Linked DNA regions of Xenopus tropicalis. The protein of the gene in region 2 purifies or fractionates together with the protein of the main gene of each other region. This does not show direct contact. Links are inferred from orthologs where the notes say so. Each region holds a gene or a part of one and is shown on either strand. Other genes may lie near its edges.

The links. The genes of interacting proteins can lie anywhere in the genome.
Region 1: the proteins of foxj1 (region 2) and fbxo11 purify together in Homo sapiens (affinity purification with mass spectrometry; 3 studies listed by BioGRID and IntAct, counting the BioPlex papers as one, with this or other methods). This does not show direct contact. The link is inferred for Xenopus tropicalis from reciprocal best matches to the Homo sapiens genes FOXJ1 and FBXO11.

Annotation. Positions count from the first base shown.
Region 1 is NC_030681.2:21,098,873-21,105,030, forward strand, and holds part of fbxo11 (F-box only protein 11), read right to left. Parts: intron 5,642-6,158; coding exon 5,497-5,641; intron 3,722-5,496; coding exon 3,592-3,721; intron 2,844-3,591; coding exon 2,760-2,843; intron 2,681-2,759; coding exon 2,548-2,680; intron 1,315-2,547; coding exon 1,208-1,314; intron 1-1,207. UniProt on the Homo sapiens protein: Substrate recognition component of a SCF (SKP1-CUL1-F-box protein) E3 ubiquitin-protein ligase complex which mediates the ubiquitination and subsequent proteasomal degradation of target proteins, such as DTL/CDT2, BCL6, SNAI1 and PRDM1/BLIMP1.
Region 2 is NC_030686.2:45,076,994-45,082,954, forward strand, and holds the end of foxj1 (forkhead box protein J1), read right to left. Parts: intron 5,649-5,961; coding exon 5,115-5,648; intron 3,485-5,114; coding exon 2,672-3,484; 3' UTR 1,570-2,671; downstream 1-1,569. UniProt on the Homo sapiens protein: Transcription factor specifically required for the formation of motile cilia. Acts by activating transcription of genes that mediate assembly of motile cilia, such as CFAP157.

The DNA of each region.
Region 1 (6,158 bases), on a different chromosome or scaffold from region 2:
TTTGTGCTTGTGTGGCTGAACAGCAGTCTCCGATGATAAATTCCCTGTCAGGCAGAGTAAAATATACTGCTGCTGAGCAACACTTTAGCGGGCAGGTGCCTAAGTTAAACTCAGCCTATTCGTTTGCCTTCACAGCAGGTCTCTAATAACCTGTGGAACCCTACACTGATTCTGTATGTTTGATAAAATTCACGAGTTACCATAGGTGTTGTAGCAAAAGGGAGAGGGAGCTGCCAAGGGCCACACAAGGAACTCTTCATGGCTGGGACCACTGCTTAAAGGAAAACTATACCCCCAAACAATGTAGGTCTCTCTAAAAAATATCTTGCATAAACAAAGCTCATATGTAAAACCCTGCTTCATCTAAATAAACCATATTTATAAAAATAGTTTAGTAGTATGTACTATTGGGTACTCCTAAATAGAAAACTGCCATTTTAAGAATTAAGGGCCGCCTCCTGGGATCATAGGATTCACAGTGCACACAAACAAGCCAAGGCACACATACATGCTAAGTCACATCAGCCAATTAATGGGCAGAGTTCTGCCTTTTGCTCCCACACTACTTCCTGTTACAGTCAGAGCTGCATTATTTCTGGTCATGTGATCTCTGAAGGAGCACACAACCCATCACTAAATGGTGGATCAAGGGGAGTTCTCTTTTCCTACCAAACCGACAGTCAAAGGAACTGACCAGCAGGTGGTGCTGATGAGGAACAGTGTGACCAACAAATGGACCACTGAAGCACCATAAACAGCATATGTAACCATTTTTGAGTCTCAACCAAATATTTAGATTGTAAGCTCTATGGGGCAGAGACCTGCATTCTCTTGTTTAGCACTTAAATAGCAAATATAGTTAAATTCAAGTTTATTTGTTATTATTTAATGGAACCATTTGCTCTAATAATGTATGGCTTTGCTGTGCTGCATCCACAAGTAACGCATATTTAAATAAGAAAAATACATAAAATCCTTGATTTACTGACATCAGAAACATTTTACCTTCATAATGAGCTGCAAAATAACCTTGTTTCTGGGACTATAACAAATTAAGTCAATTTATGGTCAGTATGGCACTGGCAGGTAGTATACATCAGATTTCTTACAACCGCAACTTAATCTCTTAAAAGATGAGGCTTGCCATATTCAAAAGACATTATAGCAAAAAAAGTATTTGTGATAGACATGAATATAAACTACTCACCCGTATTGTCATGTAACCAACATAGGCATCCTCTGATCCCTCCATAAATACAAATGTGGAATCTCTTGTATTCTCAATAATTACCTTGTCTGCTACTTTTCCTGGTGCTGTAGACAAATCAAAGGAAACATTACTATCGCATTTGCAGTGCTTTATACACAACACACATGGTTAACGCATCACACTTCTAATTATAAAATGTAACATTTCATTTTAGAAGTTAGTTTGCCAATCTAGGCTGTAAGTACAGGTATGGGACCTGCTGTCCAGAATGCTCGGGACCTGGGGTTTTCCGGATAAGGGATATTTCCATCATTTGGATCTCCATAACTTAAGTCTGCTAAAAATCATTTAAATATTGAATAAACCCAATAGGCTTGTTTTGCCTCCAAAGGATTAATTATATCTTAGTTGGGATCAAGTACAGGTACTGTTTTATTATTACAGAGAAAAGGGAATCATTTAACCATTAAATAAACCCAATAGGGCTGTTCTGCCCCCAATAAGGGGTAATTATATCTTAGTTGGGATCAAGTACAGGTACTGTTTTATTATTACAGAGAAAAGGGAATCATTTAACCATTATATAAACCCAATAGGGCTGTTCTGCCCCCAATAAGGGGTAATTATATCTTAGTTGGGATCAAGTACAAGGTACTGTTACATTATTACAGAGAAAAAGGAAATAATTTTATAAAATGATTTTCTTATGATGGAGTCTATGGAAGATGGCCTTTCTGTAGTTCAGAACTTTCTGGATAACTGGTTTCTGGATAAAGGATCCCATACCTGTATTTTATATTTCTGGCGATTACATAGCAATTTTTATTTAAAGGTAATTTAAAATGTGGCAGCATCAGATAATGTGGCATAAAAAATATGACTACCATAAACTAAAATATAATTTAGAATGTGCCTGCATTATGCAGAACTATCATACCCTTCATTATGGTTTGAAAATATTTCTTAAAGACAATGTTTCCCTTAGCTGTAAACTTGGCAATCAGTTAAAACTGACAGCCCCCTTAAAATATATAGAGCAAAAAAATGCTACCATCTGACATTAACAGATATTTATGCTAAATAGTTTCCAGTAAAATTAGCTTTAGGAAAGCTGCTTTCGTTTAATGTACAAATCGACTGACGTAAGCCTAATTAGCACAGGTTTCTGTACAAGACAAGCATATGAATTTACCAGAAAAATAAACAAATCATTCACTACTGCACTACTTTTACTATAAATAAATGTAAAAGCAAGTGCAGCAAAACGGATATGCAAACTGATGCATCTGCAGAGAACACAAACACAACTGACTTATTCAACACTGATGTTTTATTACCTGCACCAATCATGGTTATTGGGGACTCAATGTATATCCATTCATCTGTGTAGATGCCAGAATGCACAAAGATTAGCCCGTCAAAATGTGCTTCCTGTACACCGCCAAGAGCATCCTCGATAGTATCATAATACTGGAAAACAGGAATATTGGAGATCTTTAGTGTCTGACAAATATCTTCTACCATTACAAAGAAATTACAGTGAACTCACCAACATATTCTCTCTGCCTTTGTATCTTGTAGGATTACTGTAGAAGTGTTCTGCAAAGCCTGGTTTAACATGCGCACCTTTGTACTGTAACAGGGAAACAAAAGTATTAAAAAGGGCAAGTATTCTTTTATTATCTCAGAGATTGATTTAATTCTTTACATACAGCTTTTACACTTTTGCTTTGTACATGCAAGCTTATTTTACACTGCCAGCTCTTTCAGTTGTATTGCTGCAGGTCCAGTGACCCAAACAATAATTCCTTATGCAAAAGGTCTAACCTGAAGTTGACTAGGTGAGAGATGCCCATGCAGTACATCAGCTAACAGTCACACCAGGCCTGCCTGTTCATAGTGATGTAGCCAATATAGTTTGCAATTTTATAGTCAGGTTGATTGATTAGATTGGCCCTAGTGTGTATGAATGTGAGAGAGATGTAAGACTGATACAAAATCTCTGTAAAGTTAATGGAAAATACTACATAAAGAATTATATAATAAAATGATGTCTGAATCTGTATGATTATAGGGTGGTTCGTTATATTTATATGTAAAGCAGTGTCTATTAACACTGAATTCACTGCTAAATCTGTATGAATGTAGGGGCTCTGTCACAGAGAATGAGGGTGTGTTATATGCATGACCTTAAAAGTGGGCAAAAACAAATGCCTACCATGCATCTCCTATATCTCTCCTGCTATTATACAAATCCATTTAAAAGGAATTATTTTGTGCAGACACCCAAAACCCTAACATCTTAAATCTTTGCAGAAAGAATTATGGTTCAACAAACAGGCGCTTAATACATTTAAATAAAAAAAATATTATGACCATACCAATTGCTGAAAGCTTTCTTTCCATGGATTTGGATGTTCATATTCTTCAGGGTTAATTGGGTAGAACTTCCCTGGTTCAGGATGCATCATTGGACGTGTATATTCAAATACTTCCATGTATAAGCGTTTCCTAAGGTCAAAACAAGAGCAATTAATGAAAAATAGAAGAGGTGATTTTGTTTCTCACAGTTAACCTGTTCGCTTTTCAATCATTTGTAGGACACAGGAACCATGGGGTATACCAATAGTTAAACTATTTACACTACAAAAGATTAAGGCACTTAAGGAAGTTAAGGGACTGGGGCTTGCTGTATACTGCTGACAAAGAGTACCTGATATTGCAAAGACCTGTAGGGACCCTATAAAACTGTTTGGCTAAAGTTTGGTTCTTTAAAGTCCAGGAGATCCTGACACACCTAGTATGTCCTGATCCACAGAGGATTACATAAGGCAATGTATGTTCTGAGAACATCCACTTGTCCATATGGAGACAATGACACCAAAGAACATCTATTTGCACTCCTTGTTTGTCCTACAGTCAGGGACAAAGCTCTGACATCCTTGGTTGTTAGAGGCAGATCTTCAGCGCCCTGACTGGGTCAAGGGAAATCCTTAAAACCATGTGACCACAGAAACTAAAGGACTTTTTCTGCATGATTAGCAGATTTGTTTTCCCCCACAGGATGTTACAAATCTGCATATGCAAATTATAATCCAGATTTGCCCAAAGGTTTGGTATTTGGCTTAATCCAAAAACAGCAAATTTAGTACCTAAAAGAAAGTGTGTTTGTCTAAAATAAAAGTCCTGTCCCAAACTACTTATCCATGGAGAAGAAACTGGAGGGAAGGAGTAAAGCAGAAAGGTTCTTTATACACGGATTGTTTAAAGAGAAATAACATTTATATTTGTATATTTAACATTTTTAAGCAAACAAAACCTTTTCTTTCAGATGACATCTAAAAATGTTGAGATTACAGGAAAACATTCAAAAAGTCTATGTCTGAGTGAATAAACTTGTCAACAGCAGTCAGCAGAATCTTCCACTTCCGCAAATCCTTATCTTTACAATGTCATTTCATCCCAACAATGTAATTATGGCATTTATAATTGCAGTAAGGGCTAAGACACATGGTGCTACTTGTCACAGCTACAAAATGCCAGAAAATACTCGTAGCAGAGACAATTCTCAGTATTATCTATGGCAAACACATGTAGAGACAATTATCAGTTATCTATTTTGTAGCTAGCTACAAGTAGCTGTGCGTGTCATTGCCCTCAGGATATAAATGCCTTGTGCAATTGATTATAATAAGTAATATTGACAAGCAAGTACTGCATTATAAATCCTTTATGTTCGATAACTGCTGTACAACTGGCAAGGACAGTTTGCACTGGGGATCTCTCTTGCATCTGTAATTAAGCTTGGGCTGACTACTTTGCAGGACGAGAGGGGGAGACCTTGTCAGGAAGGTATATGCCCCCTTTTAATTTACTTTTAAAAACACCCAAAACCTCTTTGGCATTTTCAATTTATCTACAGTTTGTATTTGGATCTTTAAACCTAAGTGGCAGCCATTAGCTTTCCTACTGCATGGGAGGTAACTCTGCATACCTCAAAGAAAATAAAAACAAGCTAAGTTCAAATTAACTATAACTTGGAACTGTCCTCTATCTTAACCACAGGACAGAAGAAAAAACTTGATCAGGGAGTGGAGTCCATCCTTATATAGAAAGGAGGAAAACCAATTATTTTTCTGTCCTGCCTACAGAGGTCTGCCCACAGAGGCGGGACCCCCGCCCCTAGAATCTGCACTAACAGAAAGGACCCCCGTAGAGAAAATGAAATCATCTTTAAGCCTGAGAACAGTAACACAGAACACCACAGACAGTGGGCTTCCACTCACCATAAAATAGGATCATTAGCAAGTTCACTGAAGCGTTTGCAAACACAAGCTGCTCTGCAGAGATCCTGCTCCAATAGGTAGGAGAAGATCTTTAGGACCACTTCATCCGGAAGCTTCTCTTGAAGGTACTGTTCTGCAGGAGCTGCTATAAAAGAATAATGCAGACTGAGCAGAAGCTTCACAGTAAACATTCCTTAATAAAACTGTGGCATGTTTGCTAAATTGTTGCCCATTCTGTTGCCAAGTCTATACCAGGGCTGGGCATCCAAGCCCCCCAGGTGACCCTGGACTACAACTCAATCCAACTACCTTAGGTTGCAAGCATGGCAATATCTTATGGCTGTACTGATACACAAATGTTTTGTATTATGAAGAGGGCTTAAAAGATTATAAGAAGGTGATTATTTTACCATTTTATAGCCTGAACAGTGGCTTAGAGATTTAGGCCTCAGTAAGGCACTAGTTTCCAAATCTTCACTGTCCACCTCCTAACTAAAATAGTTACCTCTTCCTAGTTATATGTAACATAGCACAATTTCCCGGATACTTTTCCACTGACCAGACTTGGATTGTATTGATCATTCCCTGCTCCTTACGCAGAGGGGGCATAAACAAAATATAGTAATAACAGAAGTAGGCAGTGTCACCCATGAAACTTTTAT
Region 2 (5,961 bases):
TGGGTTTCTCCAGGTACTCCGGTTTCCTCCTACAGGCAGGTTAATTGGCTCCTTATAAAACCACCCCTGGTTTGTGTGAAAGGGGTTAGATTGTAAGCTCCACTGGGGCAGGGACTGATGGGAATGGGATAGGGACATTAGATTGTAAGCTCCACTGGGGCAGGGACTGATGGGAATGGGATAGGGACCTTAGATTGTAAGTGCCACTGGGGCAGGGACAGATGGGAATGTGATAGGGACCTTACATTGTAAGCTCCACTGGGGCAGGGACTGATGGGAATGTGATAGGGACCTTAGATTGTAAGCTCACTGGGGCAGGGACTGATGGGAATGTGATAGGGACCTTATATTGTAAGCTCCACTGGGGCAGGGGCTGATGGGAATGTGATAGGGACCTTACATTGTAAGCTCCACTGGGGCAGGAACTGATGGGAATATGATAGGGACCTTAGACTCTAAGCTCACTGGGGCAGGGGCTGATGGGAATGTGATAGGGACCTTAGATTGTAAGCTCCACTGGGGCAGGGACTGATGGGAATGTGATAGGGACCTTAGATTGTAAGCTCACTGGGGCAGGGACTGATGGGAATGTGATAGGGACCTTAGATTCTAAGCTCCACTGGGGCAGGGACTGATGGGAATGGGATAGGGACCTTAGATTGTAAGCTCACAGGGGCAGGGACTGATGGGAATGTGATAGGGTCCTTAGATTGTAAGCTCCACTGGGGCAGGGACTGATGGGAATGTGATAGGGGCCTTAGATTGTAAGCTCCACTGGGGCAGGGACTGATGGGAATGTGATAGGGGCCTTAGATTGTAAGCTCCACTGGGGCAGGGACTGATGGGAATGTGATAGGGACCTTAGATTGTAAGCTCCACTGGGGCAGGGACTGATGGGAATGTGATAGGGGCCTTAGATTGTAAGCTCCACTGGGGCAGGGACTGATGGGAATGTGATAGGGGCCTTAGATTGTAAGCTCACTGGGGCAGGGACTGATGGGAATGGCATAGGGACCTTAGATTGTAAGCTCACTGGGGCAGGGACTGATAGGAATGTGATAGGGGCCTTAGATTGTAAGCTCCACTGGGGCAGGGACTGATGGGAATGTGATAGGGGCCTTAGATTGTAAGCTCCACTGGGGCAGGGACTGATGGGAATGGGATAGGGGCCTTAGATTGTAAGCTCCACTGGGGCAGGGACTGATGGGAATGGGATAGGGACCTTAGATTGTAAGCTCACTGGGGCAGGGGCTGATGGGAATGTGATAGGAACCTTAGATTGTAAGCTCCACTGGGGCAGGGACTGATGGGAATGTGATAGGGACCTTAGATTGTAAGCTCACTGGGGCAGCGACTGATGGGAATGATGTATAATCCCTGTAGAGCGAGCCACTACTCCCCTCTATTCAAGTGCAAGAGACTATATAACGTTTAAAATGATCAAAGTACATATTTTCCCCCCAAACCACCCAACTGAATATGACAGCAAATCAAGACAAGATCCAATGTATTTTTTTTTTATACAAAAATGAATTTATTTGCGGAACACACACACTTGGAAGCTCATACAAGCGTGCTGTCGTTTTTATTCATCCGAAAAACAGTGGCCCACTTTTCAGTCACCCTTCTACCCCAATTGCAATTGCATAATAATGTTTGAACCATTCAGGCAGGAGATAAACAGAGTCATAAAATCTGCATTGTTGGCTGCCTTCTTTTCTGTTCAAACACAAGCATTCTCACACACTCTCATTCCCTTCCTCAGATAGAAAAAAAACAAAAGAGAAAACTACTGGACACCTTTTTCTCCCAGTAGCTATTTCCCGACTCTCTTTGTTGCCAGGGCAGCGTCTATGGCAATGTGGAAGCCGACAGAAATTGGTTTTGAGAAAAAAATATACGTTGAATATTTGTTTTTATATATATATATATATATATATTTAAGGTATTATTACACCAAGCCTGTACATCTTGATATCACTCTGTCTGATTTCTCAGTAACAAGGGATTAGGAATGAAAGACAGGCAATAGGAGGCTAAATAAAGTTAGATTTGTTGTGTCTGGTTAAAATTTCTAAAATAAAAAGAAATCACCCCCCAATAATAACAGTATTCCTAATGACATTAAACACATTAGGTTTAGGTATTTTCGTTTTTTTTTCGTTGTCTATCTGTTTTTTTTTTTCTCCCATTTCTACCGCTGTTATATAAAAAAAGATTAGAAGACAGATAACGGGCAACTCTTCGGCCTGTGGAAGAGAGAAAGAGAGAGGGAAGGGCACATTGCACATATTCCAGAAGTGATCATACATCAGACTCATCTGATATCACATTGTCTGTATTTCGCCCTACCCACAATACAGAGGTAACACCTAAGTTCGTTTTGAAAATACCTAGAAAAATAAGTACAAAAAGGTTCTTTATTTAAGTACTGTTCTTTTCATCATGGACAGAGGGAACGGGACAGTCTTCTGCCCAGCGTATCTGCTGCCCGACAGCTCAGGCCACTGGAGGAGCGTTCAGCGGGATAGACCCGATCTATTCCCAAACTGTGTAAACTCCAGAATCGGTACCCTCTGCTCTGCAAAGGATTTCATAAATGTTCATAAAAGTTCTTAGTAAATATAAATTTATTTATATAAGTGTCTATCTGTGTCCCTGTATGGCAACATTATATATAGGAGCCCAAGGCAGACCAGTCATTGAGCTCTGCGGGAAATTCCTCATTGAGATCAAAAAGCTGTTCGATATTGGCAGAGTTTGACAGATAATCATTCCTGTTCTCTTCCCACGGGTGCTGGAGGAAGGAGGTGGCCAGGAAGGTCTCATCAAAATCCAAGCTGTTTTGGACCACCGCTTGGTCCTGTCCCAGTGGGTACCACTGCTGTGGGCAGTCGATGTGCTTTCCATGAACGGTGAGGTCGACAGAGCGCGTAACTGGGCTCAGGGGAGGCGTGACTTCCAGGTCCTCGAAGGCCGAGAAGTTAACCCCATTCATTGAAGAGTCGAAGATCACTTCCCAGTCAAAATCACCTTTCAAGGACCCCAATTCAGTCTGCTCCTCTTGGCAGAGCATAGGGGAGCTGGAGAGGCGTGGGGCCTTAAACATGCGTTTGGGCAATGGCTGCTTGCGCTTGTGGGACTTCCCATCGCTTATGGCATTCCAGCCATGCTCTCCTAATGCATTCCAGCCTTGCTCACCGGTTGCCTCCTCGAATTCCTTCAGCAGTTGGTGGGACTCCGAATTGACGCTCAACTGCCAGGGGGAACCTCTGTTGCTATTACCGGAGGCTGCAGCCTGGGCGCTAGCGAAGGCCGGATGGATCTGCACAGGCGGGAGTCTGCGCTTCTTCATGGCCCCATTCATCAGGCGATCGGCATATTGTGGGTCAATCTTCCAGAAGCCTCCTTTGCCAGGCTCATCTTTTTCCCGTGGGACTTTGATGAAACACTTATTCAGGGAGAGGTTGTGTCTAATAGAATTCTAGTTGGGAGAAAAAAAGAAAATTAGATGAAAATTGATCATTCTGAAATTTATGGAGAAAACTTATGGAGTTGGGAATAATGCAAGTTGGGCAGAGAAAGCCCTTGTTTTTTGTTTTTCCCCAGGCCTAGTCTGAGATACAGATGTAGGGAGGGAAGAATGGGTAGAAAGGGAGTTGGAAGCTAAAAACAAAAAGATTGGAATCATAAAATAGTAGAGAAAGGAAGATCCAGTGGGCTGAGCGTGCTGACTTTATAGCCACATATCCTCCTTTGACCTCTCCAATTCCTAGCCATCCCAAATACCTTCCCCCTTAACCGCCTCTTCTATTTAGACAAAAGGAGGGGCGACCTTTGTAGAATCCCCTGGCTTACGGGAATGGTGGGACAGAGGAGGAGCAGAATGGGAAATGTGTGTCTATTCTGGGGGTGTAGATCACGCTTTCTACTTTTAAATAATAACGCCGGGCAAAAATGGGTTAAAATAAGGATATCTCCCACCTTTCTGCCATCAAATCCCCAGGGATCCCGGATCTTCCTGATCCGCTAGTTACTGTTTAATAAAGTTTAACAGGCGGGGGGAACAAATTCCTCTGCTCGTCTTTGAGCCCCCCTCCCATCCATTCTCTCTATTCATCACTCTCCTCTGGATGCTTATTGCTTGGCCTGTTAAACATATTTATCATTCCTGCCTCAGCGGCTTCCATCCTAACCACCTGTGTCGGGGTAACCCCCCCCCCCCACCTACACTAATGTTTAATTAAACCTCACCAAAGACTTGGCTTGGGAGGGAGGGGGGGGGAGAGGATTTATTTTCTGCCTCCAGGAAACTTTGTCTGAGAGCCCTTCTCAATAAAAGCCCTGCAGACCACACATATTTATAATGTAAATGTGCCACAAGCACATATTTATCCCAAATTACTGAACACACACACGTATATATAAATAAGCTACATGTCACTGCAGTAAATGGACTGTCATTAGCATCACAGAAGAGGGGCATCGGGGACAAGTTCTTTAAACTAGCAGGGAGGGCCTCTTTCTTTCCTTCCAGGAAGCTCACCCCCCCCCACCCCACCTGACTGTACAAGATCCCCCTATAAACCAATCTCAAATGGACCCTCCTACTCACAATCCATTACTTAGAACAATGGGGTGTCAGGGCCACACAGAAAGTACAGAACTGCGGGGCGGGGGGGCTGACACCCAGCTAAATAAAACACCAATGTACAGCAATGGCCCTGAATAAGGGAGAACTATCATGCACTACACATTAACCATTAAGCTTTTCAATACAATTAATTAGTTCATCTTTAGAAGAATGTTGACGGGGATGGATGCACAGCTCCCGCCGGCAAGGGTTAATGAGCCATGTGACGCTGTGGGATGTAGGAAGCGCAAAATAGTAACTCAAGGTTCACGGAACCACAGAGTAATTATACACAGGGGACAGGCAGAGAGAAGCAGAACCATACCACTGTGTGCCTTATTGCCTCAGCACTACAACAGCAGCTTCAGGCGTAAGGTAAAGGCAAGTTAGACCGCGTTGTTATGAGGGAATATTAACAGATTGCAATGTATAAATAATATATGGTATATAATAGTCTTGCCATCCCCATCCGCATACATACCTGCCAGGTGGGGTCGGCGTGTCGGAAGTAGCAGAAGTTGTCGGTGATCCACTTGTAAATGGCAGACAGTGTGATCTTGGTCTTCTTGCTTGCTTGCATTGCCATACAGATGAGGGTGGCGTAGGAATAAGGGGGCTTCACATGCGGGTTGGTCTTGTAATCGATATCTTCCATTGGCTGGAGTCCCAGGTGGGACGCCCGCGAGGTGGACGAGGAGATGGGTTTTCCTGGGGTATGTGGCATGCCCAGGCAAGCGGGGTCGGCGGCCAGAGGAGAACAGGGGGCACCGGATAGATGTTTGTAACCATGGGAGTCCCCAGATGATGGTGCTTTACCCACGTTGGCATTGAGTATGGAGAATTCTTGTAGCCACTGTAAGCTGGTCAGACTGTCGTCCAGGTTAACCGAGCTAGAAAAGGAATCTTGGCCTTGCTCCCCCTCAGCCTGGAAAGTCACCCAGCTGTCCTCCATGTCTATCGGGGCCACTGTGGGCAGGTCAAACATTAATAAAGCCTGGTGATCCAAGAACTGCTCCTACAATGCAACCAGAGAATGGTCTGTTAGAAACATGGTGTCATGGAAAGTGCTGATTGGGTTACTTATCCTAAAGCATGTCCCTCTTAAGGCCAAGGCACCCTAGGGTGCTGACGTAGCAAAACCTTACCCAGTGAGATGTCATTACCTCTGTGGGGGAACCCTAGCTCCTGGTCCCACCCTACGTCATTTTATTTGTAAGGTGATCTTAACTGCATATTGTGTGCTAATGGTAGGCATTGCTGGGAATAGGATGGAAGCTAGGTAGGTATAACTGTTTTCAAACAAACATAACATTAAAAATTAAAACATT